Linked DNA regions of Mus musculus. The protein of the gene in region 2 binds, or shares a complex with, the protein of the main gene of each other region. Links are inferred from orthologs where the notes say so. Each region holds a gene or a part of one and is shown on either strand. Other genes may lie near its edges. The genes, in order: Srsf1, Tnpo3 and Cirbp.

Region 1 (9,771 bases), on a different chromosome or scaffold from region 2:
AGGGAGTGGCACTATTAGGAGATGTGGATTGTTGGAGGAAGTGTGTCACTGTAGGGGTGGGCATTGAGGCCCTCTTCCTAGCTGCCTGGAACACAGTCTTCTGTTTGCCTTCAGAACAAGATGTAGAACTCTCCATTCCCCAAGTGACATGTGGGCCTGGACACTGCCATGTTCCCACCTCTGACCCTGTAAGCCTGCCCCAGCTAAACGTTGTCCTTTCTAAGAGTTACCTTGGTCATGGTGTCTGTTCACAGCAATGGAAACCCTAACTAAGTCAAACAAAACCAAAAACCAACAAACAAAACCAGTGGCTAACAGAAAGTGCTGCCCTTGTAGAACACCCCAAGTTCAGGTCCTAGGGCTCCTGGGTATCCTACTATCTCCTGTAATTCCAGATCCAGGGGACTCATTGCCCCTTTCTTGTCACCACAGGCACTGTACTTGTGCATGAACAAAAAAAGACATATTTATACTTTTAAAATGAAATGGATCTTTAACAAAGCCAGGAGGTGGTGGAAACACCTTTAATCTCTACACTCAGGAGGCAGAGGCGGGTGGATCTCTATGATTTAAGTGAGCTGCAGGACAGCCAAGGCTACATGGAAGAACCCTGTCTAGAAAAATAAAAATAAAACAAACAAAACAAAACAAAACCAACAAATAAGTATTTAAAAAAACAATAAAAGGGCTGGAGAGATGGCTCAGCAGTTAAGAGCATTTACTGTGGAGCTGGAGAGATGGCTCAGCAGTTAAGAGCACTGACTGCTCTTCCAGAGGCCCTGAGTTCAATTCCCAGCAACCACATGGTGGCTCACAACCATCTATAATGGGATCTGATGCCCTCTTCTGGTGTGTCTGAAGACAGCTACAGTGTACTCATATACATAAAATAAAAAAATAAATCTAAAAGAGCATTTACTGCTCTTCTGAAGATCCTGAGTTCAAATCCCAGCAACCACATGATGGCCCACAACCATCCATAGTGAGATATGATGCCCTCTTCTGGGGTGTCTGAAGACAGCTACAGTGTACGTACATATAATTAATAAACAAATCTTTAAAAAACACAATAAAAGAGGGAGAAGGTCACACTTTCAAAACCTCAAATAAATATTGCTATCAACATTAATTTTGTATTTGGCAGGATTATGAACAAGTAGCAGTGAAAATATCTAACTCTGCCAGGTGGTGGTGGCACACGCCTTTGATCCCAGCACTTGGGAGGTAGAGGCAAGCAGATTTCTGAGTTCAAGGCCAGCCTGGTCTACAGAGTGAGTTCCAGGACAGCCAGGGCTACACAGAGAAACCCTGTCTGGAAAAACCAAAAAAAAACCAAAAAACAAAAAACAAAAACAAAACAAAACAAAAAAAAAAAAACCCAAAAACAACAATAAAAAAAACCTCACACTTATTTTCACCCCATTATAAGAAGAAATTGCAGCCAGGTATGATGAAGCACTTCAGACCACCTGGGGTAACATCTTCAGGCCCCCCAAAAAAGACTCATCAGCATTAAAAAAAAAAATTCAATAATTACCAGTGCTGGTATCCCAGAATCAGAGGCAAGTGGATCTCTGAGTTTGAGGCCAGCCTAATTTACAGTGTGAATTTAAAGACAGCTAGAGCTACAAAGAGAAACTGCCTAGAAAAACCAAAACCAAACAAAAAACCTAATTAGTTCACCTAGGAAGTGTTCAACTTGAACTGAATTTGACCTTAGAAGACAAAGAGGAAGGAAGACAAGAGCTAGAATAGTAATTAATATAGGAACAAGTCATACTGAAGATAATCTTTTTGTTACAGATCATTTTAGGAACTTTTTTTTTTTTTGGCAAAGTCATATTGTTAATAATGGGACAACAAAGATGGGCTAATTCAGCCAAAAAGAAAGCAGAAAGACTCAAAGAATTAAGGAAGCCAGTCCTGGAATAAAATTATACCATGGCAGTATTTTTAGATGTCTTAGTTGGGCTTCAAAAGTGGCTTTTGTTATCCATGGAATGAAATCAATCCTTACGAACATTGTCTATCTATCGACAGCAACATCAAGTTTCCATGGAAACAACAGTCTGCTCACTGTTCTACATTTTTCAAGGAACAGTCAGTAAATAATCAGTATTCATTATTGGTAACATAATTTAACTAGGCGAAATGAGACACACATAAACTAAATAAAAAGATATGTACTGCTTAGCAAGGCCTACTAGAGAAGCCATAGAAATAAATGGGTCATTGAACTGGATAAATCTTTCTGAAGTGTTACCCAACCTCAGATACTTTATTATAATAACACAAAATTAACCAGTATTATGTTCATAACCAGTGAGCAATTAAAGATGAAAAAACAAAGATATGTACTATTTCTTTCATTTTCTGAAAATATGTGTAATTAAAACAAAAACCAAGTCAATTTTTCCCAGAATATTTAGGTTTTTTTTGTTTGTTTGTTTTTTTGTTTGCTTGTTTTTCAAGACAGGGTTTCTCTGTGTAACCCTGGCTGTCCTGGAATTCACTCTGTAGATCAGGTTGGCCTTGAACTCAGAAATCCACCTGCCTCTGCCCAGCGAGTGCTGGCGTGGGCCACCACTGCCTGGTCAGTTGAATATTTAGAACTTTGTCTTTTTTTTTAGTAGTAAAAATAACAAAGTTATCACCAAAGAGGTCAATATTAGCATAAATGTTAAAAAAATATAAAATTTTACTTTATTTTATTATATTTTTTTTGTTTGTTTTTTAGTTTTGTTTTTCGAGACAGGGTTTCTCTGTGTAGCCCTGGCTGTCCTGGAACTTACTCTGTAGACCAGGCTGGCCTTGAACTCAGAAATCCCCCTGCCTCTGCCTCCTGAGTGCTGGGATTAAAGGTGTATGCCACCTCGGCTGGCTTTGTTTTTGAAGCAGGGTAGACTCCCAGTGAGCTCACTATTTTCCTTGGTATCTTAATCTCCTGAGGGCTGAGATTACTGATGTGGGCTCCCATGCTTTTATGACTAACAACAACAAAAAACTGTTTTTTTTCCCCTGAACTATTTAGATTTTAAAATCGCTTAAAAATTGGATATATTATGCTCTCCTCTTCTTTACTGTGACTTCTGGTGAGAGTAGTCAAATTTGCAGTAGATCTCCCAAAATTCAACAAGTTCTTCAGGCATTTTGCCTAGAAACCTTATACATCACTTCTGCCTCTCCCCCACTCTCACTGTCCTTGATTTCTCCAGCCAGTCTTAATATTTAATGGTTTCATTTTAAGCAGCCCCACATCCTTGGACTGTTGTAAATAAATGATAACATCCAGGGGCAGCAATGACTCAGTGACTCATCTGGTTAAGGTGCTCCTCCCAAGCCTGACGTTTCATCTCGGGGGCTCACATGGCATGAGTGGTGAACTGCACCTTATTTTCTGACTTTCACACATGGGCCATGGCATGACCCACCACCCCAAGACACAATATGCATAACATAAAAATTAAAAACTAAAAATTACAGTATAAAGAATCACCCTTAGAACCTGTGGGGATCCGACTTAGCATATTTATTAGTGATAGGGTCGACACAGCTCTGGCTGGCCTTGAACCCTGAAATTCCGCTTCCCAAAAACTTCAAGAGGCATTTACCACTACGCCTGGCTGTCTCTATCCAATCATGAAAGGCTCTGGTTTTAGCTGGGAGGTAGTGACTTTGATCCCAGCACTCAGAAGGCAGGAACTCCAGGACAGCCAGGGGTACACAGAGAAATCGTGTCTCAAACAAAACAACCCCAAAACAAAAACAACACCAAGAAAACGTTTTGTTTTTCAATATTTTTAATAGAAAGGGTTTCCCTGAATGTCCCGGGCTAACCTTTCCCCCCGCCTCCCCTTTGGTTTTTCGAGACAGGGCTTCTCTGTATAGCCCTGGCTGTCCTGGAACTCACTCAGTAGACCAGGCTGGCCTCGAACTCTGAAATCCGCCTGCCTCTGCCTCCCGAGCGCTGGGATTAAAGGCATGCGCCACCACTGCCTGGCTCCGGGATAACCTTTACTAGAACTGTGTATAACAGGGTAGGCTGGACCCTCCTTGCCTCAGCTTCCGGAGTGATAGGATTTCAGGCACACAAGCTTAAGTCCAGATTGGTTTGCTTTTATTATAATTCGAGTTCATTAACAACACTACAAGGCCGTATGATTTCACACGTAAGGCTCTTCTATTCCCGTTATTACAAAACAAAGAAGCAAAATTGTGGTATCCAATGCAAGAATCCTTTTGCAGATAATCTTGGCAAAATAAACAAATAAATAAATAATCTCCCTAGACCAGCACAGAACCGGGATCTCGGCTCTGCAGTTAAACTGTTTTATCACTCTTCCTTTTTCATCCTTAGAAAGGAGGAAGAGGAAAACTCAAGGCACAGTTTTCATTTAGATAGATATGGAGGATCCGTCTAGACACTTTAACTAAGATGCAGCCCACCGCAGGTTCCCAGAGGCAGAAGCCACACTGCTCCGCTTCGGCTTTTAAATGAAATCACCTGCAACTCCCGCCGGCGGCACCGAAGTGCAGAAGATGCCCAGGTTTCCGGAGCAACAGCTCAGCGTCATCTATCTCCGCCCCGCGGCGCCTTTCCCGCCAAAGGCCGTTACCACCGCGGAGCATGGTGGGACACGCTTGCAAGATAGGTTTCACCCAATCTTTTTAGAGCGCCGAGCTGCTTTCAGAGAGGGTCTACCCCCGAGGTGGCCGACGATTCTGGACTCAGTGGGGATTAATAATAACCGCTTTAACCAGAGCATGTGATTTTTACTAAACGCCTGGACGTTCCAGCAGCCAGTCAACCCGCCAGGACGCGAGGGACTTTTTCCCCTCCGTGCGGAGGGTGACGTCGCGCGTGCGCGAGCGTGCTTCTCAGCACCCGTTAGAGGCGTGCGCCTGCGCACTGGGAGGGACGAGCCGCTTCCTCCGGCTTCTCTTCCTCCCCCTCCCCCCCGGTATCAGTGCGCCGAGCTGATAAAGGCGCCATTTTGGAGCGGCCGCGGGAGACGTGGTGCCGCTGAGGGCTCGCTCTGCCGTACGCTAGGCTTGGTAGGAAGGCCTCTTTTTTTTTTTTTCCTTCCCCCCCCCCGAGTCCGCGCTTTTCGTCGTCGCCGCCGCCGCCATGTCGGGAGGTGGTGTGATCCGTGGCCCGGCGGGGAACAACGACTGCCGCATCTACGTGGGTAACCTACCTCCGGATATCCGAACCAAGGACATCGAGGACGTGTTTTACAAATACGGCGCCATCCGCGACATCGACCTGAAGAACCGCCGCGGGGGACCGCCCTTCGCCTTCGTTGAGTTCGAGGACCCGCGGTGAGGCAGCGTGGGGCGTGCGCGGCCTTGAGGAGATAGCGTGGAGGAGTTGGGGAAGGCTCGGAGGCCTTGGAACATAATGGGGGGAGAGGAGGGGCTCCGAGGCGCTATCGCCCCTGCAGGAGTCGAGTCAGGAGAGCCGAGAGGCGGCGCGTTGTCTCCGGTGGCCGGCCGCCTCGGACGTCCCCCCTACCCCCCGAGCCCATGCGCAGCCCCCGGAGCGGGAAACCGAGGCGCTGAGGGCCGGCGAGGTGGTCGGGAGCCTCTGCCCGGCGTGGTGCTGGGTGGGGGAAGGGCCGGCCCTATTATGCGGCGCATGTGGGGCTCCGTGTGGCCCCGTGGGTGCGCATGTGCGCTGTGGCCGCGGCTTTTCACCCCCGGAGCGGGCGAACGAGCTGGGTCCGGCGGCTCCCTCCCCTCATCACCCCCCCCTTTCGCTTTCTGTGATCACACGCAGAGACGCGGAAGATGCGGTGTACGGTCGCGACGGCTACGACTACGACGGCTACCGGCTGCGGGTAGAGTTTCCCCGAAGCGGCCGCGGGACCGGCCGAGGCGGCGGCGGGGGTGGAGGCGGCGGCGCCCCGAGAGGCCGCTATGGCCCGCCGTCCAGGCGGTCCGAGAACAGAGTGGTTGTCTCTGGTGAGTTGACTTCGTGCGGGTTAAAATCTTTTTCCCGCATGACTGCTTTGAGTACTGCAAGGTTTTTGTTATTGTTGTTTTTGTTTTGTTTTACACACGGGGTCTTGGACTACTTCGGTCTTTGGGATGAATTTAGTAAATAAAGATTACTGTGGTGGTGATTTACCCAAATTAGGTTGCAGTACTAGCCTATGAAGATCCTTTACAAATAAATTTGGACTCTGGATCTGACTCTTACCAGCTCTTTACCTGGAAACACTTAAGTACAATCATTAAGTATTTTAAAATAATCCTTGTTCGAATGTACTTTACACGTTTGCCGTGGGACAGGATGAGTAGTATTAAATTAGGGGGAATCGCTTTTTCAGGACTGCCTCCGAGTGGAAGCTGGCAGGACTTAAAGGATCACATGCGTGAGGCAGGTGATGTATGTTACGCTGATGTTTACCGAGATGGCACTGGTGTCGTGGAGTTTGTACGGAAAGAAGATATGACGTATGCAGTTCGAAAACTGGATAACACTAAGTTTAGATCTCACGAGGTAGGTTATACACTTATTCTTTTTTTTGGCCAGAATTGGATACAGTTTTCTTAACAGTGGAATTTGAAGGTAAGGATACAGGCAAGGGTGTTCACGTAAATTACCAGAGCCCTGATCTGTCTTTGTATTCGTTCAGCTTGTCTGAAGACAGGTGAAAGCTTAGATCTTTCAATGGAAAGTTCTGTCTATCCAATAGGGAGAAACTGCCTACATCCGGGTTAAAGTTGATGGGCCCAGAAGTCCAAGTTATGGAAGATCTCGATCTCGAAGCCGTAGTCGTAGCAGAAGCCGTAGCAGAAGCAACAGCAGGAGTCGCAGTTACTCCCCAAGGAGAAGCAGAGGATCACCACGCTATTCTCCCCGTCATAGCAGATCTCGCTCTCGTACATAAGATGATTGGTGACACTTTTTGTAGAACCCATGTTGTATACAGTTTTCCTTTACTCAGTACAATCTTTTCATTTTTTTAATTCAAGCTGTTTTGTTCAGAATGGGCTAAAGTGTTGAATTGCATTCTTGTGTAATATCCCCTTGCTCCTAACATCTACATTCCCCTCATGTCTTTGGTAACTTGTATTTTAAGTGATGTCATAGACAGGATTGTTTAAATTTAGTTAATTTCCATGCTCTTCAGACTGTGATATTATGTAAATGTCTATTCTGCTCTGGTTTGTGTGAAATGGGATGTTGGGGGTGTTTGTGGTTATCTTACTTGGGGGAAGTTCTTATGTTTATCTTGCTTTTCATGTGTCTTTCTGTAGACATATCTGAAGAGATGGATTAAGAATGCTTTGGATTAAGGATTGTGGAGCACATTTCAATCATTTTAGGATTGTCAAAAGGAGGATTGAGGAGGATCAGATCAATAATGGAGGCAATGGTATGACTCCAAGTGCTATTGTCACAGATGAAATTGGCAGTATTGACCTTATACTAGAAGGCGAGGGTTAAAAATTTATCTACCTTAAAAGATTTGCAAACACTTAATGCAGTTATCTTCAGCTACAATTGCTTTGCTTTTTAAAACCTTGGCAATTGTGGTAGAATTGCCCATTTTGTAACAATTATTTGCTCCCTTCCCCCCTTTTTGTTTTAATAGGGACTAATGTGGGAAGAATGGCTAATTTGTCACAGTGCTTAGTTACAACTGTTAATGTGTGGCCTGCTGTTGGTGTACATGTGGGTACAGGGTGTCAATTTCCAAACAGAGTATAATATCAATACTGCTAAATCTGCATGTCCTCTGTGTGACTGATAGAGCATTGTTATTTCATTTTTTAAAGACAAAATGACAGCAAAATAATAGAATTCCAACGTATTAGTGTAGATAATCTAGTTGGGAGTACTTTAAGTCTCACCTTCCCTTTTAATATTCATAATTGACTCATGTTTAAAACACTTTAATTTACAAGCTAAATTGCAGATGGGAGCAATAGTTTAGGTTTAGGTGGGTAGTAATACCAGTAAACTTCAATTATATAACTTTGCAACCACAAAACCTGTGATACCTGTACAGTAACAAGTGTTGGCATTATCAGTTGAACTGTAAATATAAAGTGCTTCTTCCAGTTAGTCTCTATAGTTATTAAGTTTCTAAAATTTATCTGAACACCATACAGAAACTTGTTTTGGGGAATTTGATAGTTATTGATGTGCATCTGTAAACTGATGACAGACATAACTCATCATTCCCCAGAAACTTTTTTTGGTTACAGTGTCTAACATTTTGCCTCCTCTTTTTTGGTTTTGCTGGTTATAAAGGTTTGGATTGGAGAGGGCTCACTGGATCCCAATCCTTGGAGCTGGATCATTGGATTCAAATCATAATGTGGATAGGATAGGGAGGATGAATTACCAGGATTCATGGAGCGGGATCAGATTACCAGGAACATAGGAGTGGATTCCTTCCTGCCCCAACCAAACCGCATTCGTGTGGATTTTTTTTTCATTCAACTTAATTGGCTATTCCAAAGAATTTTTTTCCTATTTTTGACGATTGGAGCCCTTAAGATGCACGATGGAATTGTGTTTTGCATTTTTTGGTAAAAGGAGCAAAGCGAGGACCTGGAGATATACGCTGGAGCAATCTCCTTGGAAGGATTCAGCACGAGTAGATGGTAAACATTTAAAGGGGAAAAGGGGGGGTTTGTTTAAAATAGTAAATCAGTAAGTCACTTCTAAATTTAAAGAAAACAAAATTGGAGTTGAAGAATAAGTAGGTTTCCAATTGGCTATTGCCGTTTTTCTTTGAAAAAAATAAACATTTTTTAAAAAACGATGCATGGTTGTCCTTTTTCCTCTTGTAAAATTTTGATTGGGTAACTAGTGTATCAGTTATTTAATTTGATAAGATTCTGATTCTGTTTATGTGTTAGTAAATTAAAGATTCTAATAAATGATGACTGTCTCTGTTGTGGAAGTCTTAAGAGCATAATAAACTGAGTGTAAGGCAGTTACATACGTAACAGTTGTGTAGAGGGTAATGATCTGGAAAGTAATCTTTCATATTTTGCTAAAGAACTTACAGTTGCTGTTTATTTTGGTAATGCTTTAGACAAAATAGGCTTTTGTACAAAGTTTGATAGCTAATCAATTTTAGCTTTGAGATTCTCAGTGGAACTCAAATTCAGTATTAACATTAGGAGACAAAATAGACTACACAGTTTTTTTTTTTTTAAATTTTGGATAGTGTGCTGTCAAATGCTTATTGGGTTAATAAATACATTATAAATCTTTTCAGCCATAGAGTGTTCTGTCGCCAAACTGTTCTGTATTGAGTCAGCAATTATATATATATCTTAGTCTAGTCTACTGTTGTATCTCTACTGATAACCCCTTGAAGCTTAATCTTCATCTTAATTGGTTTGGAGAATGGAACTTTTATTTAAAATCCCAAGCTTGTGATTTCCTCCTGGCTAGAATGAATAGACCACTATTCACCACAGTAGAAATAGCTAGATCTTTAACTTTCCTTGAGTTGCAGGCTAAATATGATATTGTTCAGATGTAATGTAGAATATAGGGGAGACCAGAAATTTTTGCTAGTGAAAGAAACAGGTTTCAAGAAATTTGCATGAGATCTCAGCCTGCTCATTTTAATGACCGCATACACTGTCCTGAAAGAGAAACTAATTCTTTTAAGTTCAAAACTAGGATTTCACTTCAGGAGATGTGTTTAGTAGATGCATTAAGGTTAGGTAGCTGTGTTACAGAACTCAAAGTACAACTAAAAGGATGAGGAATTAGCATAGTTAAACATGGTATAA
Region 2 (9,554 bases):
CTTTAAGAGAAATCTCTAAGGAGCTTAAAGACACTTAAAGCAATTTCTGTTCACTTACCACCTTAAGCAATCTCTTGAGGACACAAAGATATGTAGGATGTGTTTGGTAAGTATCAAGTCTTTCTTCCAGTTGGTGTAGAATTTTTCAGCCTATAGACTTTATAAAATACACCTTTCTCTTTTTCCTACAGACTTGAACATTTGTTGCCTTTGACTGAAATACTTTTTACATTAGTTTCCTATTCATCCATCAGTCTGGTCTTAGTTTAAAATATTTTTAGATGGCCATCCTACTCCCTTCAATCTAGAGTGTTTCACCTAATTTTTTGGAAACAGGGTCTCATAAGTCACAGATTGGTTTCAAACTTACTAAGTATCTAAAAATGGTCTTGCACTTCTGATCTTCTTGCATCTTACTGTGGAGTGCTGGAATTATAAGTGTGTGCCACCACACTTGATGTAGTGAGGGGATCAAAGCCAGGGCTTTGTACAGGCTCCAGAGCTCTTTACCAAGTGAGTGACGTCCCTAGCCCAAGTTTTAATAACTCTTATTTATTTTTACTCTCTGTGTATTAGTGGTTTTGCCTTCATGTATGTGTGTGCACTATGTTCATGCCTGATGCCTGAGGAGGTCAGAAGTGGGTCCTGGAATTGGAGTTACTATAGAGGAATTTTAGCCCAGCAACATGGCTGTTCTGGCAAGGGATCACATCCAAAGACCTTCTAGGTCTTTGTGATCTTGCTGGAATGCAGATAGGCCACACACCTTTAGTCCCTCTGTTTGGGACACAGACATACCATTAGCACACACTTTTAACTCCAAACAGTGAAAGTAAGGTTAGTTTATAGAAGGAAGCAGCCATGTTTGAAATGACATCTATTCGAGGGGCAGACAAAGTGACAAATCAGAGAAAGATTTGACAGAATGAGTCAAAGGTAGAATACACCAACTCTCACAAGAACTGGAGAGGAAAAGAGGTTACTTAAGAGAGCAACAACAGTATTGGGGGGGGGTTAATGGGACAGTTTTACAGAGACATGTTGCAGAGAAAACAAGCTAGGTGAAGAGTGAGCTAGAGAATAAATAAGGAACCTGAATATTGCCAGAGTTAGTTTGAGTCCAAGCAGAACAATTCGGTGAGAAGCTGAGAGAAGCCAGTTTGAATCAGTCATTTTGAAAAACAATTTTGAGCCAGAACAGTGGAGTTGAACCAGCCAGCCAGAGTTCAGAAAGGACTAGAAAGAGTGAGTTTATTTAGTAGTAAGCCTCCAAGCTGACAATTACATATGGCTAATAAAAGTTACTTTTGCCAGGCATGTGGCACACGCCTTTAATCCCAGCACTTGGGAGGCAGAGGCAGGCGGATTTCTGAGTTCGAGGCCAGCCTGGTCTACAGAGTGAGTTCCAGGACAGCCAGGGCTACACAGAGAAACCTTGTCTCAAAAAACAAAGTTACTTTTACAAGTTACTGATGCTTGTACATTATCACATGAGTTCTGGGAAGCAAGCTTAGGTCCTCTGTGAGAGCAATACATGCTCTTAACTGTAGTGCCATCTCTCTGACTCCTTAAAGTTTTTAGTTTTGATGAATTCCAGTGACCTTTTTCTTTTTTGACTGGTTTTAGTAGCATAGCTAAGAAGTCATTGCCTGATCCAAAGTCATAACTGTATACCTGTTTTCATCCAAGAGTTTTATAGTATTAACTTTTTTGCTTGTCTTTGTTTTTTGTTTGTTTGCTTGCTTGCTTTTGAGACAGGGTTTCTCTGTAAAGCCTTGACTGTCCTGGAAGTCACTCTGTAGACCAGGCTGACTTCATTCTGCATATAAGCTCTGCCTGCCTCTGTTTCCTAAGTACTGGGATTAAATGCATGTTTCACCCTTCACCCCACAACCTCCAGGGCTCCCAGCTCAAATTCCAGCTTTCATTTAAGAATTCTTGTGGTTGCCAGGCAGTGATTGTGCACACCTTTAATCCCAGCACTTGGGAGGCAGAGGTAGGCAGATTTCTGAGTTCAAGGCCACCTTGGTCTACAGAGTGTGTCCCAGGACAGCCAGGGCTACACAGAGAAACCTTGTCTCGAAAAACCACAAAAAAAAAAAAAAAAAAAAGAATTCTTGTGACTAGTTGGGCAGTGGAGGTACATGCCTTTAATCCCAGAACCCAGAAGGCAGAGTTTCTGGACAACCAGAACCACACAAAGAACCCCAGGCTGGCCTCAAATATGCAGCAACCCTCCTGTCTCTGCCTCCCAAGTGCTGGGATTATAAATATGGTCCAGCATGAACAGCTTTAAATTCTCATCTTTTAAAATGAGGTTTAGGAGCTGGAGAGTTGACACACTCACTGATCTTGTAGAGAACCCACACTCAATTCTCAGGATCTATATAGCAGCTCACACGGTAACTCCTCCAGGACCAAGTTGCACATGCATAAATATGTAGGCAAAACACTCATACACATAAAAATAAGTCTTTAAAACTATTTCATTAGAGCTGGGCGTGGTGGCGCACGCCTTTAATCCCAGCACTCGGGAGGCAGAGGCAGTCGGATTTCTGAGTTCGAGGCCAGCCTGGTCTACAGAGTGAGTTCCAGAACAGCCAGGGCCCTCTACACAGAGAAACCCTGTCTCGAAACAAACAAACAAACAAACAAACAAATAAGCAAACCAAAACTATTTCATTAAAAAAGGACTTATTTTGGAAGGTTGTTAATCTTTCACTACATTACATTACATTACACATGGTCAGCCTTCATTAGATACTAACAGTTATTTTTAGTGAAGCAGCAATATTGGGAAACTGGCATGTTAACTGAGGATTGCTAGACAGTTGATTTTGTTTGTCATTTATTTATTTATTTGTTAATTATTTTCTGAGACAAGGTCTCTTTGTGTATTCCTGGCTGTCCAGGAACTTGCTCTGTAGACTAGGCTGGTCCAAACTCAAGAGTTAGGCCTGCCTCTGACTCCAGAGTGCTGGGATTAAACCTGTCTGCCATCACCGCTTGGCTGTTTTTTTTTTTTTTTTTTTTGGTTTTTTTTTTTAAAGAGACAGAGTTCCACGTATTAGAGGCTGGTCTTGAATTCCTCCTGATGGTGTTGTGGCTAACTTCCAAGAGCTGAGATTACAGGCTCTCTTCCTTTCTTTCTTTCTCTCTCTCTCTCTCTCTTTCTTTCTTTTTTTTTTTTTTTTTGAGACAGGGTTTCTCTGTGTAGCCCTGGCTGTTCTGGAACTCTGTAGACCAGGCTGGCCTCGAACTCAAAAATCCGCCTGCCTCTGCCTCCCGAGTGCTGGGATTAAAGGCGTGCGCCACCACGCCCGGCTGAACTGATGTTTCTTAAACACTCCTTGGAGACGGGTGAAGAAGTAGGAACCGGGAGGAAAGACTTTGGATTCCTTGCTGACGAGATAAGATTTGGTCAGGAACGTTAAGAGTAGCCAGACTTGAAGCTCAAATAAAGACTTACGCACCTAGGAGACTGACTACCTTGTGCCTACTTCCCCTTGGTTCTCCTAGTCCGGCAGGGTCACTTCCGGGAGGAGGCGGGGGAAACAAGAGGAGGCGTGCCGGGAAGGAGGCAGTTTGTGGTGCACCAGGCGGAAGTGTGCCAAAGTCTACGGACGGCCACTTCCGGCCCGGGGAAGCCCTGCTTCGGCTCGCTGCGTGGTTCGTGTCATGCGGAGGTAGGCCTCTGCGAGCAAGGCGGGAGGTGCAGAAGCCAGAACCCGTGTCCGGACTCGAGAGTCTGCGATTCTGGCGGGAAGACAAGACAAAAAGGAGGCAGGAACCTGAAAGCGACCTCTCCGCTGTTTCCGAGGGGGCAACTTCCACGAGGAACCCCCCTTCCCTGGTAACGGCCAGAAAGGAGGAGATGGCGCCAGTCAGGGAGCGGCTGTGGCCGAGACAGTGAGGACGCTTGAAGGCAGAGCAAGCGGAAGCCTAGGGAGGAGTATCGGGCTCTTTGCTGTCATCGCCGCCGCTCCCGCCAGCATGGAGGGAGCCAAGCCAACCTTGCAGCTCGTGTACCAGGCGGTGCAAGCGCTTTACCACGACCCGGATCCCAGCGGAAAGGAGCGCGCCTCGTTTTGGCTTGGGGAGCTGCAGCGTTCGGTGAGGTTCGGGGAGAGTCCGTTCTGAGCCGCGCGGGACCAGGGCCGAGTGGGATGGGATGGTTCTCCGCTTGAGTGGAGCGCTTGGCAGTGGGAGATCCTCTTTCCGAAGGAGCTGGTGCCGCGGGGTGGGGCTGAGCAGCCACAGATGTGCTGCCTTTCGGAAACCAGTGGCAACTGATTGGTCACGAACGGGCCCTTTCCCTCGTCTGTGGAATCCGTTTTGTAGTTCTGTACGTCTCGCTTGTGGTCTGGCTCTCCTTTAAGTGCTTTTGGTACACCTTCCGTATTCAAGAGTTGCATCTGGCAATACCTTCCCTTTGGCAGCCTTACTCACCCCTCAGTGTCCCTTGCCGATTTTCATTCGTGTTATTCTCGAAATTTCTCAGGCTTCTAGATTCGTGTTCGTACAAATTTTCTCCTCTCATTGGAGTGCAACGTAATATAAAGAAAAATTAGTTATGGTTTCAGGAAATCTTTGTAGTTCTTTTGTTTTATATCAGATTCCTACTGTATTTCTTCTGCCTGTACGTTTTTATTTGTAAGATGGCTATCATAGCTATATTAATTAGTCCATATTTTTGTGAGCATGTGGTGGAGTGTGTGTTGTATCTATCGTATTTCCACATGTTAAATTTTTGGGCTCATGTTTTTTCATTTTTTGACTCACACTTTGTATTTTCTTCCATGATTTTTCACACTCACCTTTGCTATGTTTTTATTTTTTATGAATTTTAATAGCTTGTGATTTTGCTGACAGTGTTTAGGTTTTAGTCTATGAACTGTGAAATTCTTTGAAAACTAAGGAGCCTCTTAACAGACTAAGTACCTACTTTCTTTTTCTTTTCCTTGTGTTTGGTGCTGGGGATCCAGTCCTGCCTACATCTCTAGCTCTCTCTCTCTCTCTTCACCCTTTATTCATTATTTCATTTTATACTCACAAACATGAAATGCTTGCTCTCCCTTTTCTGTTTAACTCATAACTGATGTTTAATGGTGCTGTATCTTCTTAAATAAGCCCCTAGGTTGCAAGTACATAATTAAAAAAAAATATTTGCCACTTTAACTCTGATGGTTGCATGTAAATGTGACACTCAAGTTCTTGTTTATATTGTGGGAAGACAAATAAAATTTTGCTGGGTGTGGAAGCACTCGACTTTAATCTCAGCTGAGATTAAATCTCAGCAGAGGCAGGCTAATCTCTGAGTTCCAGAACAGCCTGGTCTACAGAGTTCCAGGACAATTAGGGCTAAATGGAGGAGGAAAAAAAAGGTTCAGTGTAGGCTCCCCGTGTAGGCCTCCTGTAGCTTTTAGTTCTGCAGACGAGGGAGTTACAGTTCTCTACAGTTCTTCATACAGTTTTCTATTTTTTTTAAAGGATTTATTTATTTATTATATGTGTATATGCTGTAGCTGTCTTCAGGCACACCAGAAGAGGGCATCAGATTTTTGTTATGGATGGTTGTGAGCCACCATGTGGTTGCTGGGATTTGAACTCAGGACCTTTGGAAGAGCAGTCGGTGTTCTTAACCGCTGAGCCATCTCACCAGCCCCTCATACAGTTTTCTAACATATAAGTAACCTACTAGGTGAGCTCTTCTTTGCTGTATCTACTGATTGTGTTTTAAATCAGTACTGGAGAACCTATCATGGACAAACAAGTTCTAGATGTTGGTAATTGGAAACAAGCAAATGAATCTGTGGTGACCGCATAGTATACTCATGCTGATAATGTAACATGTCCAGAGCTGAGAGACATTCTTCAGCATAGAGCTTAAAGTATGTTAGGATTGAGTTACTCACCTTCCTCTCCTTTAGTTCCAATTATTCTGTGTGTCTATTCATTGTAGAATCTCAACAGGAAGAGATGACCAACTTGACAGAATAATTAGTTGGGAGAATTTTCTTTTTTTCTTTTTTTTTTTTTGGTTGTTGTTTGTTTGTTTTTGTTTTTTTTAATGAGAGATACTAGGGATTGAACCTAAGGCCTCACACATGTTGTGCAAATTGTTAATCTCTAAGCTCTATTCCCATCCTTTTTATTTTTATTTTGATAAAAAAAACTTTTTAAGTTCTCTAGGCTGGCCTTTAACTCACAATATAGCCTCTAAGTAACTAGATGTTGGTAATTGGAAACAAGCAAACAAGCCTGTGCTGACCACATAGTATACTCATGCTGATAATGTAACATGTCCAGAGCTGAGAGGCAGGCCTACAGGTCTCCTTTCCTTTCCATGCCCCAGGCGGGTTTGTTATAAACACACTATACAGCTGCGGGTACACTGTTGTCAGAAGAAATAGAATTATAACCTCTAGCCAAACTGTTATTTTCTTCTGGAAGGAATAGAGAGAGAGGAGCAGTTACTTAGCTTCTTTGAGGGAGAATGACATGTTTCTGGTGACAAAACTTGAGGTCCTTTGCAGTGAGGGAGCTGGAAGAATTTATTTGCTGACTCTGTTCTTCTGGGATTCCTTATAGATCAAGCCAACTAGTATCCAGGGGACATTAGGAAGCAGAGGCAGGTGGATCTCTGAGTTTCAGGCTAGTGTGGTCTATGTAATGAATTCTAGGACAGCCAGAACTATGTGGAGAAACCCTGAATCAAGGTGTGGGGGACGGGAAAGGGGAGAAAGTCTGCTGGAGCAGAAAAGATGTAGAAAAGGGGTGAAGAACACCCAACGTGCTTGTACATCATCATTTGGTCAGCTTCAGGGTGTCCATTTCTTTATTATGTGTTATGTGTGTGGACACACTTGTGTATGTCAGAAGACAACTTGTGGAAGTCAGTTCTCTCATGTGGGTTCTAGATACCTAACTAAAGTGGTCAGGCTGGGCAGCAAGTGGCTACAGTCTGTCTTTCTCAAGTGCCTAACTTGAGCATTTAAATGAACAATCACGTTATCACTTTGGCCTTTTCATTTCTTTATTTTCTTCAGGTCATGTAGTTGTACCCTGGATCTTGTCATTACCAAAATCACTATTCAGATATCCTTCTCTGAGCACAATCCATTAATTACTGTTTTCTGGCTCAAGAATTTCAAGTAACCCTGTGTTTGAATTTTTATTATTTTGCAGTCCTATATAATTTTAATTCTTATCAAAACTTAAGTTTTACTTTAAAATTTAAAAGTCTTTTGTGCTTGCTAGTATCTTTAAAATTTTTTTTGTTTTGTTTTCTATATATATATGCCATTTGTTCCCAAATGTCCACAGTATAAAATGTCCAATATATGTTCATATTGATAACCTATTTTCCTGTTATAGAAAACAGGAAATTTGTTGCCTGAAATAAGCTTGTAGCCCTAAGATTTATCAACTCCCAAAATAGCCCTCACCCCACTGACTTGAGTCAAATATGAATGATCATAGTCTACAAACATGAATTCAGAGTGCCTTTATTTTGTTGTGCGATGGAATTGGTGACATGAGATTGTATTAGTTATGGAACAGGGGAGTGGGGCTGGAGATACAGCTCAGTGCTTAAGAGTCCTTACTGCTAAGAGAGTCAGTGTTTGCCTCCTAGCACCTCTCTGGCAACTCACAACTGCCTGTACTCAAATTCCAGGGCATCTGGTGCTCCCTTCTGTGTACATACTCACACACACACACACACACACACACACACACACACGGGGATTGGGGGGGGGAGAAAGAGAAATTAAAAAATAAAAAGGAAAGTCAAATCTCAGAATTTATGGGTTTTATTGGTGGGCCTTTGGATGAGCAGGTTATAGGAAAGAAACAGGGATACTGCTGTAGGTCTTTTGTTTTCTAGAAGTGTTTTGTTTTGAGACAGTCTTCCTATGTATGCAGCCTTGGCTGGCCTGGAACTCAATGGAAATCTGCCTTCCTCTGCCTCCTAAATGCTAGGATTAAAGGCATGTGTCACCACAATTGGCTCTGAGTAGGTTTTAGGTACTGATAACATTTTTAGCCTTTGGACTGGTAGAAGTTAGTGGTTTGCTAAGAATGTACCTTGAAGTTTGAAGGACAATGAATGGCTATTGAGGGGGTTAAAAATAGTGCAAGATAATTTGGCTCTGTATCTGCATCATTCTAACTTAATATCATCAGAAGTTTTAATCAGCCATTGAGCCTTATAGAGTCTTTAACACAGGTATGGGGTTTTTGAGACAGGGTTTCTCTGTGTAGCCCTGGCTATCCTGGAACTCATTTTGTAGACAAGGCTGGCCTCAAATTCAGAAATCCGACTGCCTCTGCTTGTGCCTCCCCAGTGCCAGGATAAAAGGTGGAGGCCACCATTGAGCTGCCCAGGTGTGGGTTTATTTATTTATTTCCTTTCTGATAACTTTAATATGTAGAATCTTTCATCTGTCTTGGTTCTGTTTCCTAATTAACTGTCCTGGGAATCCCTCTTTAAACACTGTCCTAGGGAATTTCCTTCACCTCTTTCTTGTGTTGGGTCTACTGATAACTGGATTTTATAATATTTTCATGAATTATTCTTTCATTTGGTGGATAATTGAGGTTACCTTAAACCTTTTATTGTCTTTCCATTTGTCTGGAGGTCAGAGGACAACCTTGAGTGTCATTTCAGGAACTAATGTCCAACTCCTTTGAGAGAAAGCTAGTCTGGTTAGCCAGATGGTCCCTGCCTCCCCCATGCTGGTACCTGGCTTTTTAAATGTGGGTTCTAGGGTTCAAACTCAAAACCTTATTCTTTTAAGGTTAAGTTCTCTCCAGCTTTTTTGGGGTGGGGTGAGGGAGATGGGCTAGAGTTTCATTATGTAACCCAGGCTGTCTGAATTGGGGGTCCTCCTGTCTCTGCCTCCTATTAGAATTATAGTGTGCTACAATGTTTAACTCTTTTTTTAATATTCTTTTTTAAAATTTTTAAAAAAGATTTATTTATTATATGTAAGTACACTGTAGCTGTCTTCAGACACTCCAGAAGAGGGAGTCAGATCTTGTTAGGATGGTTGTGAGCCACCATGTGGTTGCCAGGATTTGAACTTAGCACCTTTAGAAGAGCAGTCGGTGCTCTTAATCTCTGAGCCATCTTTCCAGCCCCCAATGTTTAACTCTTGTCTTAACTTTTTCCCTTGGAAATGGTGAAAGGGGGTGGTGGTGGTAGTTGGAACAGGATTTTGCTATATAGTTCAGGTTGGTCTAGATCTTACTGTGGCTTAGGCTAGCCTTGAACTTGATTTTCCTCTCTTTTAGCTTCAGGATGGGCTACCGCCCATGTTGTCCCTTACTGTCTTCCTTTGCTCATTCTTTTCTGGGTCACTTTTACTTTGAGCAGTCTCCTAGTTTTGTGCCTGGAGATTATAAACTAGGCAGCCTGTGTTTAGCTGCTGCGTGGGGGAGTGAGGACAGGTGATGGAACTCAGGTGTGTAGGTTTTCATTTAATTTTGTGTTTTTAGATGATATTCCTATCCTTACTTGAGTCTTTTCCTGGGTATCCAGAGACCCTATT
Region 3 (9,446 bases), on a different chromosome or scaffold from region 2:
TTCCAGGGCTTGCTGGGCATCACTGTAGGGTTGCTGGTGGTTTTTTGACATCTGATACAGTCCTTGTGCCTTTAGAATGAGTGCATGTTCCTGCTCCTACAGCCCTGACCTGGCTTCAGTGCACTGTTTTCCAGTCCCAGACATTTATTAAAGGCAGGCAAGTAGCCGGGTGTGGTGGCGCATGCCTTTAATCCCAGCACTCAGGAGGCAGAGGCAGGCGGATTTCTGAGTTCGAGGCCAGCCTGGTCGTCTACAGAGTGAGTTCCAGGACAGCCAGGGCTGCACAGAGAAATCCTGTCTTGAAAAACCCAAAAAAAAAAAAAAAAAAAAAAAAAAAAAAAAGGCAGTTAAGTTAAGCAGGTATAGGAAACCCGTGAGGACCTTCCACGGGATCTATCAGATACCAAAAGCATGTCGAGTCTGTGACTGTGAGCCCAACAAGTCTGCTGCAGAGGGCGTGGATGTGCATGTGTATGGCGTGGCATGTCATAGGATGTGTGTGCTGTCTGAGGCGTCCCTCTGCCGCTCAAGGCCCAGGTCTGGGCAAGAGCCTGCAGGGCCTGGCCCTCCCAGGCTTTCCTATTTCCATTCCTGGGGTGTGACTCAGGGCTGCAGGAGGGATGAGTCACAGGAACTTGAGCCTAGCCCGCCCTGGCTGCAGACCCCTTCCAGAAGCAGAATGCAGTCTCTTTGAGTGGCAGAGAAATCAGAGCCCACTCTGTAGCAGAAAGGCAAGCTTAACCCTTACAGGTGATTCTGGACTCACTAATAGGGAGAGCCCAGGTGCCTCTGACACAGCTCTCTGTTGTGCCCACCCAGGAACGTGAGTCACAGGCATAGATGGCTACATTACCTCCGTGGGTGCTGGCCCACCCAGTCACGTACACCTAACCCTGCATCTACATCCAGGTTGTGTTCGTGTATGTTGGCGTCACAGCACCCTGCCCACCCATCCTGTCCTTAGGGAAAACAGGTCAGTCATGCAAAGGTGACTGTGTCCTCTTCACACATATTTAACAAACCCATTTCCTCTGTCCACAGGATCCAGATGTTTTCTCTGAATCCTTACATTTCCATCTATGTCCCTCCGGGTCTTCTGCCCACGTGCACACATGTGCGCCACACCTGGCCACACATGCATAGGCTGCATCTTCCACCCTGGCTCTGGTCCCAGAGGATAACTAACTGGGATAGCTAACTGGGCGGGTTCCAGGCTTTGCCATCACGGTCCCACTTGTGCGCCCCCGCCGGGCAGAGGCCAGGTGCAGTGTCCCCGGCCCCCGCCCGGCCGAGAAGGGGGCGGTAATTACCGGGCCCCGGGGTGCCCCCCCCCCAACGCGCCTTTCATCCCGGGCCACGCCCGTCCCCAACCCAGACGCTTATTACCATCTCCCGCCCGGTCATTAGCCTGGGTCCGGGAGGACCCGGCGGGCGGACGGAGAACCGGGGATGGGGAGGTGGAGGCGTCACCCCTCGTCGTCTCTATAGCGACGCCCAGCAGCGGAGTGGGGTGCAGGGTAAGCCCGAGATCAGGACTGACTGGACTCGCCTTCTAGGGGTGCAGCTGACACCCTGCCCCCCTCTCGGATTTATACAAGACACATGGGATCCCTTTGGGAGTAGTACTAGTGTCCCGATGGGCGACACTGGGCCAACTGCTCTGCCCAGACGCGCAGGAGCAAACCTCGAGCGTGCAGTCCAGCTACCACCGAGCTGGGCACAGCGAAGGTAAACCAGCACTGACACTGACAGCTCTGGTTTCCGTCAGTGATAACTGTCCACGATGGCGACGTCTAGTGGCCATAGCCTGGCCAAGCAGCTGGTGGCCGCCTGGAAAGAGGTGGGACATGAGTCCTGAACACTCCAGCCGAGGCTGTAGCGCCCTCTCCTGTCCTTATCGGGCAGAGAGCACTATTTGGGATTTGCCCGTGGTTCAGGGATTCACAGCGTTGGTGGATATGAGGTGTGTGTAAGAGAGAGTTTCAGACTCCTTTAAAGCCCACCAAAAGAAACAAAGGGTCATGGTGGCAAGCTAAGCCACCTGTCCACGTGGTCACAGGTAAGTACACGGGACACGCTTTAGACACAAGTACACCAAAGGCGAAAGAAAATGCACCCTGAAGCCGTATCCATGGGTCAGACATTTTCACGCTTTTCTGGGGCTCGAAAATGGCTATGGGTAATGGTGGAGCCCGGCCCAAATGAGCCGGTTAGTAGTAAGCTTAGTAAGTGGGTGCTGGTTGAATGAATGAATGAATGAATCAAAGACTGAGTACGGCAATTCTCAAAACCAGGAACTGGAAGGTGCCAGAATGTGAGCCAGGCTAGGGGCCCAGCATGATCCTGGGAGCTGGGATTACAGGGATCCAATTTTCCCTCCTGTGGGCACATTGTAGGACTGTTGCTTCTGGCTCTGCTGGCTTGTGGTCCAGCGGTCCCTGCAAGGCACGATCCCCTCCCCTCCTGGATTGCGCACATTGAGGGAGGGAAGGCATCTTGGTCTCTCAGCTCTTTTTAATAACCTCCTTGCGTGAGTGGCTGACGCAGCAGGCTGCTCTGACGGGGATAGGAGGGCTGCGTGCAGAGAGCGAAGTGCAGAGGGGGTGGCCATGAGTCACCAGCTGCTGTCTAGGGGGAGGGGAGCATCGAATCCCTGAGGGGTCCTGGCATTCTTCTCCTGGTGACAGCTGGGTCACCTCGACCAACTTCATCTGAAGGTCAGTGAGTCTGAGGCTTAAAGCAGGGTTGGGATGTCTCAGTTCTCAAGTCACCAGACTGTACTCTCTCCAAGGGGCAGTGCTGAAGTGTGGATTTCCTATCACTGATATCTAGGGAGATGTCTGCACTGGCTTGTTCCTCAGGCCATATATTAAGCAGAAGCCATTGAAGTGAGAGGTGAACTGCCTTAGATGGGGGTTAGTTAGGATCCTTACATAAAACCGGGCGTGGTGGCGCACGCCTTTAATCCCAGCACTAGGGAGGCAGAGGCAGGTGGATTTCTGAGTTTGAGGCCAGCCTGGTCTACAAAGTGAGTTCCAGGACAGCCAGGGCTATACAGAGAAACCCTGTCTTGAAAAACCAAAAAAAAAAAAAAAAAAAAAAAAAGGATCCTTACATAGGCTACTCAGGACTCAGGACTCTCAAAACCACAGTGGAGGGAGAAGAAAATGTAGCCTGGAGACATGGGTCTGTTATCACAGCTACTTGGGATGTGAGCCTACGGATTTCAAGGATAGATTGAAAAATGTAGGTTGTCTCAAAGGATCAAATGGCCTAGTGGTAAAGGGCTCTTGCAGAGGACGTGGGTTCAATTCTCAGAATCCACATAAAGGTTCACAGCTGTCTGGACCTCTGCATCCAAAGGATCCAGCACTCTCTTCTGGTCTTTGTCAGCGCAAGATAGGCAAGTGCTGCATAGACATTCAGGCAAACACCCATATACATAAAATTAAAATACACTTTTTTGTTTTGTTCTCTGTGGTGTGTGTGTTTAAGAAGGCTAAGGATGTAGCTTGGTTTAGCCACTACTTAGAATTCTGCAGTGAGGGGTTAGGGGTGTGGCTCAAGGATAGAAATCCTTCCATGGCATGCTTGAGACTCTGGGGTCTCTTCTAGAAAATGCAGGTACACATTGAAAAGAGTGGTGTTTTGCCATCTGTGTGGTAATGTACACCTGGTTGGAGATGGGCAGAAATCAGGGTTCAAATGGTCGTTATACAGCAGGTTGAGATTTGTAGGAAAACTGAGTTGGGTGCAGGAAATCTAGAGAAAATCTTGACATTGTGATTAATACTGGGATGGAAATTTTAGGGCTGATCTTATGGAGTGTCCTTGGGGTCCAAAGAACTGTTAGGCAGCAGTTGTATTGGGAGGTACTTTTGGACTAGAGTAATTCGGTGGTTTTGGTTTCATGAGCAAGAACGGAGAAGAGGGGCAAGCAAGATGACTCAGTGGATAAAGCTGCTTGTGGCTAATCCTGAGTATGATCCTTAGGACCTACATGATGGAAGGAGAGACTCCATCTGTCTTCTGGCTTCACAAATGCGCCTCAGTTAAATAACTGTAATTAAATATTAAAAGAAAAAAAAGAACATAAAAGTGTTGAGTCGATGAGTCAAGGTTGGAGCCATATTTGGGAGTCTCATTGAGGTAGCAAAAGCTCTTTGTTCCCCGCCGCAGGACAAACGGGTCGGGAACGCGGAAGTGGGTCAGCTCCGCCTCCAAATCAGCTGTCCCCGCCTCCTAGTCGCTAGCGGGCGGGGGGTGGGGGGGAAAAATGCGGCCAGGAAAGATTCCAGCCAATCAAAACACTCAGCGCCTCCGCGCGGACTAGGGCAAAGCCAACGGAGTCCCGCCCCTCCACCGAGGCGCAGATGCCGAATCTAAGGCGTCGGATTGGTCAGCGCGGCGTGGTGGGCGGGTTAAGGGGCGTGGCTCCAGGAGTGGAGTATATCAGGCGGGACTCTTGCGCTCCCCCTCGCACTCGCGCCTTAGGAAGCTTGGGTGTGTGTGGCGCGCTGTCTTCCCGCTCGCGTCAGGGACCTGCCCGACTCAGCGGTGAGGGCTCTGGCGGCACCGGCTCTGAGGGGCCCGGGGCGGCGGGCGGCCTGTGACTCTCGGGCGAGGCGGAGCCGCAGCGGCACGCCCCTGGGACTTGGGGGCGGGCCCGGGTTGGAGTCCGCCCCGCCGGCGGCGAGGCGGGCAGCGGGACACTGGGGCCTCACGCTTGTCGGAGGGCGTCCTCCACCGCGCGTCATCCCCGGGCCGAGGCCGACCTTAACGGTGGGCTTTTTTTTTTTTTTTTTTTTTTGTAAAATGGCCGCCGCGATGCTTTGAAAAGCTTCGCCGGCGAAATGGCGGGACTGCCGAGTGCCCGGATGGAATGGCGCAGGGTGCGCGCTTGGCGCATGCGCTGCTCCGGGGGCGGGGCGCTCCTACCTCCAAAGTCCGGTTGTCCGCAGATGTGGAGCTGTGTCGCGTGCGACCCTTTTACTCCAGCTGGCTCTACCTCGGTTTTCTCTTCCCTTGTGGTTCCACGTGGGGAACAAAAAAGCACATGTAGGCTTGAATGTTGTCCTTTTGTGCCCCAAGTTTATTGCCCCCAAGGTAGACTGGTTTCGTGGTATAGTGGACTTATTTTCCAAGTTGTCGGTTGCCAATAATGACTTTGTCTAGATACCACGCCCCTTTCGCTAGCCACGCCTCTTGGGCCAACCTCCTTTCTCCCTTGAGTCCATCGTGCAAAAACATTTCTCTAGTCCTTGGCTGAGTAAGCGAGGCATCCCACAACTGGCACACCTCCAGACAGTACCCTAAAAGCGTATTTCAGTAGTGAAGTTTCTCTGGCCCAACAACTCTATGCTAGTGAGGGTAGGCAGTCACTATCATTTCTGTCCCCAACCACACACATTTGCAAAGTGACCATGCCATTTTGATCCTAACCTTGGGATTCTCTGGCCAGGTGTAATCAAGACCTAGAATCATTTAAGGTTAGCCTCAGCTGTATGACAAAGTATTCCATATGCCTTTGGGATGATAAAAGCAAAAAGAGTTCCCTCTTGTGTAGCCCAGAAGGGTATTGAACTTGCTGTGCAATTGTATTTGGTTTTGGATTCTGTTCCTTTGCCTCCAACTCCCACAGGCTAGGCGAGATGGGTATTTGTTTTGAAACAGTCTCTCAAACTGATCCACAGTGTCCTTTTTCTCATTGATCTTCCCATCTCGGTGACTTGAATGGCTGGATGAGAGGTGTGAAAGAAACCCCACTTGAAGCTGAGGTTTCCCAGTAAGACCATGGGGTCCTCTCCCCCCACCCCCATGCTTCCCCCCTAGCCCCCCCCCCCCAGTTTCTTTGTGTACTCCTGGTTATCCTGGACTCTCTTTGCAGACCAGGCTGGCCTCAAAACTCACAGAAATCTGCCTGCCTCTGTCTCCCAAGTGTTGGGATCAAAGGCATATACCACCATGTCCAGCTGTGGGTTACTTTTATTTATATACATACATACATACATACATACATACATACATACATACATACATATGTAGGTAAGGGATGGGAAGAGGCAGCTTTAACTCCTTAAAGCTTTCAGTGACTTATCCTTACAGGTGTTCCAAGGCCATCCTGGACTATAAAAGGAGACACTGTCTCAATTTTTTAAAGGCAAAGAATGTGGGGGGCTGAAGAGTTGGCTCAGGGGTTGAGAGCACTGCCTGCCTGCCAGAAGACCCAGGTTCAATTCCCAACACCCACATGGCACCTCATAACTAACTCCCAAGATCTGACAGCATCAGAGACATATATGGAGACAAAACACCAGTGCACATAAAATATGTTACTCTTTTTTTTTTTTTTTTTTTTTTTTTGAAAAGCATATTCTTAAATATGCTATTTGGCTTCAGTTTCTGGAAGGGGTGGTGGTTAAGGCAAACATCTATGGTGTGTGCATAGGCTGCCATGGCATCAGATGAAGGCAAGCTTTTCGTGGGAGGACTCAGCTTCGACACCAACGAGCAGGCGCTGGAGCAGGTCTTCTCCAAGTATGGGCAGATCTCCGAAGGTGAGTCTTGGGTCAGGATCATTGTTCTCGGCTTCTACTTGGGGGTGGGGGTGGGGGGCAGAGGGCTGACTGGGCACATCTAATGTCTCTCTCCTGCAGTGGTGGTGGTAAAGGACAGGGAGACCCAGCGATCCCGAGGCTTTGGGTTTGTCACCTTTGAAAATATCGATGACGCTAAGGACGCCATGATGGCTATGAATGGGAAGGTGAGGATCAGGTCAGCCAATTTACCTTGGATAGGTCTGGTGTGGAATCGGGTACAGTGACCCTAACTTTCTCCTGCAGTCTGTGGACGGGCGGCAGATCAGAGTTGACCAGGCTGGCAAGTCTTCTGACAACCGGTCCCGAGGATACCGGGGTGGCTCTGCTGGAGGCCGGGGCTTTTTCCGTGGGGGACGAAGCCGGGGCCGAGGGTTCTCCAGAGGTGAGTGCTGGGGTGCCTTGGCAGCTGGTGGTGGCACTGCAGCAGGAGTAGGGACTCCCTGACTCTGTTCTCGATCATCTACAGGAGGAGGAGACCGGGGCTATGGAGGTGGCCGCTTTGAGTCCCGGAGTGGGGGTTATGGAGGCTCCAGAGACTACTATGCCAGGTGAGCCAGATGGGAGCCTTGGGGAGGCTCAGCCTCGGTGGTGGCAGCTGGGCCTGGGAGGAGGGTGCACCAGGGGAAGGGCAGACTAGTGTAGGTGGTTTGGTTTTGTTCTCTACTGAGAACCAACTCTTGCCAACTATACCTGGTACGGGGCTGAGCCTGGGTGTCCATGTGTGTCCTTCCACAGCCGGAGTCAGGGTGGCAGCTATGGTTATCGGAGCTCGGGAGGGTCCTACAGAGACAGCTATGACAGTTATGGTAAGTCTAGCTCCAAGGATGCCATCTGAGTGGCTGCGGTTGGGCTCGGTGAACCCTTGTGTCCTCAGAGCATCTTAAGCCGCTCAGCCTTGGGCGCAGCTACCAGGCCTGCCGTACAGGTCAGGGCACCAGGTGCATGAAACCCTGTGCCACCTCCCACGCGCGCGGGCGGAGCACAAGCTCCAGTGACTTTACACTGTCCCGCTTCTGTCCTCAGCTACACACAACGAGTAAAAGCCCTCCGCGTCCAGATCGTCCTTCCATGGCTGTAATTAAGATGGGGGAGCTTCGCTGATCGTTGTGTAGTGAGCACCTTGTTCCCACTTTTGTAGTCCTTTCCGTTCTGACCCGTCAGCAGCCTGCTTCTGACCCAAGATGGCCTCGTGACTAGACCTGTTTTTAAGGAAGCGCTGTCTGTTTTTAAGTATTCTTAAAAACGTTTTGGAAAGCACTTCAGATTTTACTGTTTACCATGAGCCATGGGTTTTTGTTTTTTCTAAATTGTCGGGTTGTGTGGGTTTTGGTTACTCGTTTTTGTTTTTTCAGGTTTTTTGGTTGTGGCTTTTCTTTTTTTTTCTTTTTTTGTGTGGTCGCCCCTGAAGTCTGGCGCCCCACCCCTCCTGAGATGGAATGGACTCGATTTGAGCAAGCCATGGCCCTCCAGCTCCCCAGCCCGGCTGCGGAGTTGCAGCAGGTCCTGCCCATCGGGCACATGTCTCAAGCCCATGGGGAGCATAGCAGTCCGGGAGGCTGTGGAAATGTTTATTTATATTGTCCTTTTTTACCGAAGACATGCATACTCCATCGATGTTGTATTCACAGTGGCTGAGGAATTCTTGTACGCAGTTTCTTTGGCTTCACGAAGCCGATTAAAAGACCGTGTGAAATGAATCTCGCTCTGACCATTTCCCTTTCATTGCCGACACTGAGCTGCGGCTCCGTGGCCAGCAGAGCAGCTAGGAAGGCAGGGCAGTGCGGGAGGCAACAAGCAGCCAAGTGGGGACGGGAGTGGGCAGTGCTGAGGGGCTGCAGGGCGGCAGAGGCCTCGCCCAGTACAGGGCCGGGTGCAGGCAGGGCCAGCGAGGCTGCCTAGCGGCTGCGCCCCGCCAGTTCCAGGCATTCTCTGCTAGCCTCCGAAGCCGCAGCCCTCGGGGGACAGACGCGAGCCACAGACCCTCCGAGACTCGCCCGCTGCTCCCCCGCTAGCTCTGCAGCTGGCCTGTGCCTCGAGGTAACACTTTCGCTCGCGCTCGTGTCGCATCCCTCCGGTTTATAGCTCACTTGGACAGAAACTTAGACTTGGGGTTGACATTTGCTTCCTGGAAGTCTGAGTCAAACTGGTGGTACCTCCCGCCAGTATAACGCGGCCGGCCAGAGCTACCGGGCGCCCTGCCTTTCTGGGCATGTTTTTGGTCCTTGCTTGACAGGCTTTAGACCTGCGCTGCTGCCTTTAGTTTTTGCCCAGAGTCCGTGAAGCTGTTGAGCAGGACAGAGCCCGGCTCTGCTCGAGGCGGGCTGCAAAAGGGCGCTGACGCCCTGGGCATGGCCACCTTGGGACGAACCACTTGGGCGCCGTGAGGGTGGGAGGTGGGAGGGCAGGCGCTGCAGGCCCACAGGGATGCCAAGAGTCACGCGCCTTTGTTTGGCAGGATGAAGGGGAGCCAACCTGAGCCATGGGAGGATGGCTGACTCTGGGTCCTAGAGGGTTCCACAGGATCTGGAGCCATAGACTGCACACAGTTTGCCCGGTGAGTGCCCGAGGTCAAGGCCTGGGGTCCTTGGACACTCCGGGTGCTCAGAGGGTTGAGGGATCCCCCACCCCTAGAAGCTGGACTGGACTTTCCCTGATTGATCTCTTCTCTTCTTTTCCAGGCAATTCCTGAGCTAGCACCTGGCTCGTGGGCGATGCAGGCTTCTGTGGAAAAGATAAAGAAGCTGGGCTGGCGTGGTCGCTGGGACAGAATGTTGTGGGGGCGGGGGGGGGGGGGTTGGGTTGCCTGAATAAAGGGCTGTGACCCAGAACCCCCGACTCTGTGGCTTG

Evidence for each region.
Region 1: the proteins of Tnpo3 (region 2) and Srsf1 are in contact, whole or in part, in a crystal structure (PDB 4C0O), measured with the Homo sapiens proteins. The link is inferred for Mus musculus from reciprocal best matches to the Homo sapiens genes TNPO3 and SRSF1. Residues at the interface, in NP_036602.1 of Homo sapiens: His155, Arg157, Arg160, Thr167, Tyr254, Ile256, Glu257, Glu304, Glu340, Ile341, Phe343, Asn344, Tyr347, Arg348, Glu351, His352, Lys355, Thr356, Arg620, Asn656, Glu660, Arg661, Arg664, Arg667, Phe668, Arg671, Ser698, Cys699, Tyr702, Ile706; in NP_008855.1 of Homo sapiens: Ser116, Arg117, Arg118, Ser133, Trp134, Gln135, Lys138, Asp139, Arg142, Glu143, Gly145, Asp146, Cys148, Tyr149, Ala150, Asp151, Val152, Tyr153, Arg154, Val172, Arg173, Asp176, Asn177, Arg181, His183, Tyr189, Ile190, Arg191, Arg198, Pro200.
Region 3: the proteins of Tnpo3 (region 2) and Cirbp are in contact, whole or in part, in a crystal structure (PDB 8CMK), measured with the Homo sapiens proteins. The link is inferred for Mus musculus from reciprocal best matches to the Homo sapiens genes TNPO3 and CIRBP. Residues at the interface, in NP_036602.1 of Homo sapiens: Arg620, Glu660, Arg661, Cys663, Arg664, Arg667, Phe668, Arg671, Ser698, Cys699, Tyr702, Ser705, Ile706, Asp709, Glu710, Asp747, Asp750, Asp751, Arg754, Arg758; in NP_001271.1 of Homo sapiens: Tyr160, Arg161, Ser163, Tyr164, Asp165, Ser166, Tyr167, Ala168.

The regions. Positions count from the first base shown.
Region 1 is NC_000077.6:88,042,711-88,052,481, forward strand, and holds the start of Srsf1 (serine/arginine-rich splicing factor 1), read left to right. Parts: upstream 1-4,662; 5' UTR 4,663-5,128; coding exon 5,129-5,322; intron 5,323-5,779; coding exon 5,780-5,964; intron 5,965-6,332; coding exon 6,333-6,505; coding exon of another isoform or gene 6,506-6,559; exon of another isoform or gene 6,560-6,701; coding exon 6,702-6,896; 3' UTR 6,897-9,771. UniProt on the Homo sapiens protein: Plays a role in preventing exon skipping, ensuring the accuracy of splicing and regulating alternative splicing.
Region 2 is NC_000072.6:29,603,925-29,613,478, reverse strand, and holds the start of Tnpo3 (transportin-3), read left to right. Parts: upstream 1-3,629; 5' UTR 3,630-3,993; coding exon 3,994-4,113; intron 4,114-9,554. UniProt on the Homo sapiens protein: Importin, which transports target proteins into the nucleus. Specifically mediates the nuclear import of splicing factor serine/arginine (SR) proteins, such as RBM4, SFRS1 and SFRS2, by recognizing phosphorylated SR domains.
Region 3 is NC_000076.6:80,163,360-80,172,805, forward strand, and holds Cirbp (cold-inducible RNA-binding protein), read left to right. Parts: upstream 1-4,479; 5' UTR 4,480-4,557; intron 4,558-4,811; exon of another isoform or gene 4,812-5,058; intron 5,059-6,369; exon of another isoform or gene 6,370-6,448; 5' UTR 6,449-6,454; coding exon 6,455-6,557; intron 6,558-6,656; coding exon 6,657-6,763; intron 6,764-6,842; coding exon 6,843-6,981; intron 6,982-7,065; coding exon 7,066-7,147; intron 7,148-7,334; coding exon 7,335-7,405; coding exon of another isoform or gene 7,406-7,434; exon of another isoform or gene 7,435-7,622; coding exon 7,623-7,639; 3' UTR 7,640-8,296; downstream 8,297-9,446. UniProt on the Homo sapiens protein: Cold-inducible mRNA binding protein that plays a protective role in the genotoxic stress response by stabilizing transcripts of genes involved in cell survival. Acts as a translational activator.